Coturnix japonica: one gene and its partner. The protein of the gene in region 1 binds, or shares a complex with, the protein of each later gene. Links are inferred from orthologs where the notes say so. Each region holds a gene or a part of one and is shown in the gene's direction. Other genes may lie near its edges.

What was found. Proteins that work in one complex are often made in the same cells at the same time.
Region 2: STRN3 (region 1) and PDCD10 share a complex: the UniProt entries of both Homo sapiens proteins name them as parts of the core of STRIPAK complex. The link is inferred for Coturnix japonica from reciprocal best matches to the Homo sapiens genes STRN3 and PDCD10.

The regions. Positions count from the first base shown.
Region 1 is NC_029520.1:30,872,789-30,876,447, forward strand, and holds part of STRN3 (striatin-3), read left to right. Parts: intron 1-273; coding exon 274-347; intron 348-910; coding exon 911-992; intron 993-1,294; coding exon 1,295-1,474; intron 1,475-1,899; coding exon 1,900-2,032; intron 2,033-2,629; coding exon 2,630-2,771; intron 2,772-3,659. UniProt on the Homo sapiens protein: Calmodulin-binding scaffolding protein which is the center of the striatin-interacting phosphatase and kinase (STRIPAK) complexes.
Region 2 is NC_029524.1:18,278,654-18,282,312, forward strand, and holds part of PDCD10 (programmed cell death protein 10), read left to right. Parts: intron 1-432; coding exon 433-486; intron 487-1,586; coding exon 1,587-1,704; intron 1,705-2,264; coding exon 2,265-2,391; intron 2,392-2,734; coding exon 2,735-2,813; intron 2,814-3,113; coding exon 3,114-3,196; intron 3,197-3,659. UniProt on the Homo sapiens protein: Promotes cell proliferation. Modulates apoptotic pathways. Increases mitogen-activated protein kinase activity and STK26 activity. Important for cell migration, and for normal structure and assembly of the Golgi complex.

The DNA.
Region 1 (3,659 bases):
CTTTCATGATTAAAAATAAATAAATACAGAACAAATTATTGGAGAACATACTTAATTCTCACTTTTGTGTCATTTGATTATTATAATTGTCTTTCTCAAACTTGTGTTCTTGACAAACTAGAACTAATTGCATGATACTGTAATTACTGTAAATTTTATTTGGATAAGGGGTGTTATGTTAACATGGTTGTTTTAAACAGGAGTAGGAAAATATTTGAGCTGATAAATTAGTACAGGATGCTTTTGTTAAATCTTTGCACATTTTTTTTCCAGGGCAAAATATCATAAATTGAAGTATGGCACAGAATTGAACCAAGGTGACTTGAAAATGCCAACTTTTGAATCAGGTAACTTCTATGATAGTACCTGTTCTAGAACAATTTCTTTGTCCTGTTCTAGATTTGCTCAATTTAGTGTAACTTTCTCCTTCCCCCCTCAATTACATTATAGAGGAAAAAAAATCCAGGAAAAGTTTGATATTAGGTAAATATTTTTGATTCGAAATCATAATGAATTGACCTTTCTCTTCTGAAACAACTGTGAGTATCAGTGAAAGTTTGGAATAGTTGCACAATTCCTTATTAAGCTGCTGCTTCTCTTACTGCTTTTTAAATTGCTGTTATAAAAGATTTAGCATTTCGTGTCAGTTTGACATCCATCTAGAAGGGAAGTTTAAGTGTACAATATGTATCAGATTTACTGTTGTTTGGTGCTACCACAAGAAAAAAAACAACCTTCTTTAATTAAAAGAAACTACTGCATAAGACTGCAAGTAACTTAAAGATTGCTTTTTGTAAATAATTGCTTTTCATTTCATTGTTGCATTGTGAAAAGTCAATTTTAAAAATTAAACAAAACCACAAAAAAAACCTTCTGAAAACCAGTAACTGCAAATGGTGCTGTCTTTCAGAAGAAACCAAAGATACGGAGGTTCCTGCAGTACCTCAAAATAGCCAACTCACCTGGAAGCAAGGCAGGCAGTTACTAAGACAGTAAGTAGCATTGTTGGAATGTTGGTGTATTCATGCTTTTTCCTGAGGTCTCAGGAGCTGTGTATGTGCATACTTTTTGATTTGGAGTAGTTGAGGTGGTCGCACGGTGGACCATGATGCAGGAGTTTGTAGTTTTGATCTTTAAACAGTGTACGTGGAGCTTTTTTGTGTGAGATGGACAGAGATAAAGCTTATCTTTTGTAAAATATATTATAGTAGTATTAATTTCTAAGTGTCAGTTCAGATTTATTTCCTTTTTCCATCAACTGTGCTTTCTTCTTTCTCCTTTTAATATATATTAGGTATCTTCAGGAAGTAGGTTATACAGATACGATATTGGATGTACGCTCCCAGCGGGTAAGGTCTTTGCTTGGGCTCTCCAATTCAGAACCAAATGGTTCAGTAGAGACAAAGAATTTAGAGCAGATCCTCAATGGGGGCGAATCTCCTTCATCAAAACAAAAGGGACAGGAAATCAAAAGGTAAGTGAGGAGGTGAGAAATGCGTGTAGTTTAAGTTTGTCTATGTAGTCATTTTAATGTACCAAAGTTCGCGAAGAACTTCAGACTCTCAATTCTCTGAACTGTGAGCGTAGCTAACTACAAATGATTATGAACTTCATTGAAACTGATTGTATGCCTTGCATGGGAAAGATAGGGTTGTATGACATGTATTCAGATTCAGTGCAGCTTTGGAATTAACATTTTAAGGAAAGTTACAGCTGAGTGATGTAACTTGAAGAATTAGACTGCTGTAGAAACTTCATACAGTCATTTCTTGGTTTTTGCTAGTTTTTAAAATTGTTGAGCTGTTGAGTCAGACAGCCATTGTGTTAATGTTAATGAATCTCCCAAAAATCTCATGAGCAAGTAAAACTCTCTCCTTGTTAATTTTTTTGTTTTTGTAGGAACTCTGGTGATGTTCTTGAAACATTTAACTTCTTAGAAAATGCGGATGATAGTGATGAAGAAGAGGAGAGTGACATGATAGAAGATATTGCAGAAGGAAAAGAGAAGCACCGGATAAATAAGAAACACAAAGTAAAAAAACAATTTTAAGATATTGTTTTGCATGCACAAACTCTTATCTTAAAAGGGAAATATCTTTCCCTTTTTTCCCTAGATAGTTAAAATTATGTCCTTTCTCTTATTCCATGCTAGAAAATTCTTTCACTGTGATTTTTTTTTTTTTCACACAAGGAGGTTGATTTAGGGCAGTTATACCGCCAATTTTCTGTAGTATTCTGTAGTGTGGAAGTGCCTACGGCTGCCTTGAATTTTCATAAGTAACTCAGCTGTCATTCAACATTATCTCAGCTTAGTGTAAGTTTGAATGTCCCAGTTTGACTTGTTAGGAAGGTTTTTGCACTGTACCTGTAGTTAATAACTTGTACATCTAGTACAAGTTGTTGCTAAACCTCATGTCAGTATTCTTTTCTAATGATTACTTTACTGTGCTGCTCTCTTTTCTTCTGTAGTTGTTGTAAACAACTCTAGTTCTGTGTGGATTTGAATGTGTTTCATGTTGAAAATAAAGCAAAGTCTTCAATGAGCATAATCGCTATCATTTATAATTAAACATTTGAGTAGATAAAGGTTGGTGGTTAAAATGCAGAAATGTTCTTCATTTGATTGCAGATTGGTAATGAAGGTTTAGCTGCTGACCTTACTGATGATCCCGATACTGAAGAAGCCTTGAAAGAATTTGATTTTTTAGTGACAGCTGAAGATGGTGAGGGAGCTGGAGAAGCCCGAAGTTCTGGAGATGGAACAGAGTGGGGTAAGATGCTAACAAAACAATTTAGAAATGAAGTAATACTTGTTCATGACAGTACAGTACCTTCACAAGTTGCATGGGTGTGCGGATGGTTGTGATGCTGGTTATTAGCTATAAATGTATTGAATGTTGAAGCTTCCATATTTTATGTTATTTTAGTTGACAGAAATATAATTATACTTCCAAATGTTTTGCTTTTGATTCCAGAAAAATCCAATTAAAGGAATATATTGCTTGAATAAGACCAGGATTCTGAATGTTTTTGTATTTGAATTAAATTGGCTTTTGAATTTTGATTTGTGTTCTGTTTTTGTGATAGGGAGCTTTAGACTTGCGTTCAGCTTAAATTAATTTCTTTGGTGCCCTTGTAAAAATTAATTTTGAAGGTACCAAGGATTAGAAAGTGTTTGTTGCTTGGAAATAGCATCAAAAAGTCAATAACCCTTTCTTTTAAATTTTTTTCCAAGCTCATCTTTGTTTCTAGTTGGAAGGTGAAGGCATGCAAGTTGTACTACATACATAATACTACATACTTTTGGTAGTATTTACTGGGATTTAGAAGCATTTTAGTTGCCTTTAAAGACTATGTCATTTGACTAGTGTATTGGTCTTTTTATTTAGCCAAGCAGGCAGGTCTGTCAGTATGAGAATTCTCTTAGGCCCTGAAGCCAAGGTTCTGATTTTGAATTTGCACTTTCCTTTCAAATATTGAGTGCAAAGAATTCTGGTTTCTGAATCAGTCTTACCAGTATGATGTATAGGAAGACATACATAGCACTTCTTTTCTTTCATGATGTAGCTCTGTTTTCTTCTCAGTGTTTTTTTCCACTTTCAGGATTTCCTGTCACTAGCATCCCTACCATTCCTTGTTCTAGTGAGGATTCAGGCTCT
Region 2 (3,659 bases), on another chromosome or scaffold:
CAATTTTTGGGAGTCTGCTTTTGGAGCTGTTTCAGCTCTAATGTTCCCAGATCTGACACAGCATTAGGAACCTGTACATTATGTGACTAGAAGTGATGCATGGTGTAACACATACCTGTGAACAGCCTCATACATTTCCATTTCTACTGCTAATGGCTGTAATTGAATAGAATATTTGTCTCTCTGCGAGTATCAGAGGTCAAGATGTTCTCAAAAGTCTTCTGTCAGATTTCTGCTGCAAGCTGAATAAAAGCAAGGCATAGCGAGTGCTGTTTGTTTGGATCAAACTTCATCTTGTCTGTCCCTCAGATGAGATCAGTCTTTGTTCTTCTGTCAATACCCTTTTTCACTGGGCCACATAAGGCAGTGCATGAGTGCTTGAGTTGTTCTGTTAACAGTGAAATTACTAATAATTCTAAACTTCTTTTGCAGCTAGAAAGAGTAAATCTATCTGCAGCTCAGACACTGAGAGCAGCTTTTATTAAGGTGAGACATAATTTGTATTGAAGGATGGTCAGTTAAACAATATATGTTGAAACTTAAATTCTTTATATTATTGTATTTGAAGAATGCATCCTTTATGATCAATAGTTTTCAATAAAACTGAGTGTACAATTGCATGGGCTGTAAGTTTGGAAGGTGTGCACATATTAGAAATCTGAATATACTTAAAAGTATATTAAACAATTTTAAACAATCCTACCTTGTGTACATGGTATGAAAGCGTAAAGGTGGCATAAATCAGTGAGGATGGAACAGGAAATAGAGGTAACAAATCCAGTGTTAATGGGACCAGATTATGTAGAATAGGTGTTCAGAAGTACTAGGAATGTATCAGGCTTGGAAAGATTAATAGTTAGGGAAATTTTTTTTGTGGATGAAATATAAGTTTGGTATTTGGTGTTTGTATTTACTTAAATCTAGCAGGAAACTGAAGAAATATTTCTTGTAACTTACTATGTACCATTCAGTAGCTATCTTTTAGACTTCTTTTAGCAGAAACAATAATAAGTATACATGCAAGGTACATCGAGCGTAGCAACCAAGCAGTGCTTTCCTGTTTCTCCTCTTAAAGTGTACCTGAGCAGACACAACTCTCAATTAGAACTCTTCCAAGTTAAATGTTCTATACAGATAGTCCTAAGGAGCTAAGCTGAATACAAATAGCATGGAAACTAACCCTATTGGAAATGGTAGTCCTAGCTCAGAACACACACACCCTCATTCTTGTTCAGCACAGCCTATTTTTGTGATAGCAACACAGGTACTGTGAATACTGCTAATGTTACATTGCAGGAGTACAACAGCATAGAGATGGTTCTGTCAATTTGAGTAAGAAATATTTTGTAATGAGGGGAAGGGCATATTGATAAAGTCATTCATATAAAACTGCTGATATAACCCAAGAAAAATATACTGGAAGAACAGCTGTCAGTGTAAAGTGCTTTTTTAAAGGCATTAGAATGGAAATTCTTCTAGCAAACACTGGTGTACAAAACAACTTGCATTAAAATCTGCTTTTGTGCTTGCAATATTATGATTGCATTTCTAGAGCATTTTTTAGAGTAATTTATCCTACAATGCAGGCTGAAAAAGAAAATCCAGGCCTCACACAGGACATTATTATGAAAATTCTGGAGAAAAAAAGTGTGGATGTGAATTTTACAGAGTCCCTCCTACGTATGGCAGCAGATGATGTAGAAGGTAATATCTTGCCTCATGTTGTGTAAGGGCGTTCTTCATCGTACTCTAAACAAGAGCATGCATTGCTCTGCCTATTTTTCAGAAGAGGTTTACTTTTACTAAGTAGATTCTTTTTCAACCATATTCAATAGAAGCAATAGCTCTTTCTCTGAGTACCTATTTTGGAGAGAATAAAGAAAAAGCCTACCACTGCAACTCCCCAGACATGTTCTTGACTAAGAGGAAGAAAATGCATCCTTTGAATGGTTTGTGTGGGAAGTTCACCTGTTGCAGTTTGTTTCAAATTGAAAGCATCAGTTACGATGACAGGAGAGCTTAAAGTTCTTTTAAAACTGTATTTCGTTATTGTAATGTTGTCAGTGTTCTTTGGAAATAAAATTGGGCTCTATTCTTTCCTCACTTTTCAGTAAGGAAAGTTATTGTTGGTCTGCTTCTGTTAGTATCTTGAGATCCATCATGGTTGCTAGTGCATTTTGTGAAGTAATGTTTTATTTAAGCTGTCACTGGAAACTTTTTGATGGAAAACTAATGGTATTTTTTTCACATATCCAACTTATTAGAATATATGATTGAAAGACCAGAGCCAGAATTCCAAGATCTGAATGAAAAGGCGCGAGCACTTAAACAGATTCTTAGTAAGATTCCAGATGAGATCAATGACAGAGTGAGGTTTCTTCAAACAATCAAGTAAGTACAGTATTTAATATTTTTATGGAGTTTTAGGGGCCTAACTTTATGTTTGGAGCTGAATGTTCAAATGCTGTGGGAGGCACTAGTAAAATTGTTCTCATTTGGAGAGTTTCTCATACACATAGAAATAAGAACAGAGCTGAACATTTAAGAGATCCTTGTGTTAGTAGATAGTAATTTGAATCAGTAATTAGCAGCTGAAGTTCCATGTCACTTTCCTAGCATTTGATTTCTGTGTCTTCTTTGAAATTCTTTCTGTGCTACTATTAAAAAAGGATTAAATTTCTATGTTTGAGTTGAATAGCTTATGCATATTACAATTCTTTTCATTTTCAAACAGGGACATCGCCAGTGCAATAAAGGAACTTCTTGACACAGTAAATAATGTCTTCAAGAAATACCAATACCAGAACCGGAGGGTATGTGAAATAACCTAATACAGTATTTCTCTAGTAGAAGAGGAAGCATATTGTTTTCTTTGTAGGATGAACAGAAGAGCATAACTGGTCAATGTCAGTGTTTTAACATGGCTGTTTGGTAATTCTCAGCAGTTCCGTAGGAAGATTGGTTTTAAAAAAACATACAGGGAAAGAACAACCCATTACCACAGTAAACCCATTCTTTTATCTACATAATCCTTGTGTGCTTTCTTTTATTTTTAATTGTGATGTACACAATAGCATCTCAACTTAGACTTCTTGGCTTTTTCTTTTCCGCAGGCACTTGAGCACCAAAAGAAAGAGTTTGTAAAATACTCCAAAAGTTTCAGCGATACTCTGAAAACCTATTTTAAAGATGGCAAGTAAGTGTCTTTTTATACTAAGCTTATACACAGTGAAAAGGTTTTGTTTACCTAATTGGTGTGACTAGAGGAAAATAAAGACAAAGCCATTTGACTGAAAAAGTGGGGCCAAGAATTGTATGTGTTGTGTGCTTACCCCATACATGCTGAAAAACAGACCAGCTTTGTTCAGCCCTATGTGAAGTGAATGCTGTGTGTTGTGGATATATGCTTTACAGTGCCTCAGGTATTATCAGTATTTCAGAAAATCCCAGGTAACATCTATGTTCCTTGTGGAACAGAAAATAATTTACATCTGTTTGAACAACACACTAGATAAGATAACCTGTTGACATGAGGAAGAAAGAGCACTAAATAACATGGTCACTCATAATGGTATCATTGAGTTGGAAAGCTCAGTGACCCCATGCTTCTTTGTTACCAGAGGTAACTGAAGGAAGTTGCTTCCATGTGCCTGCATGCT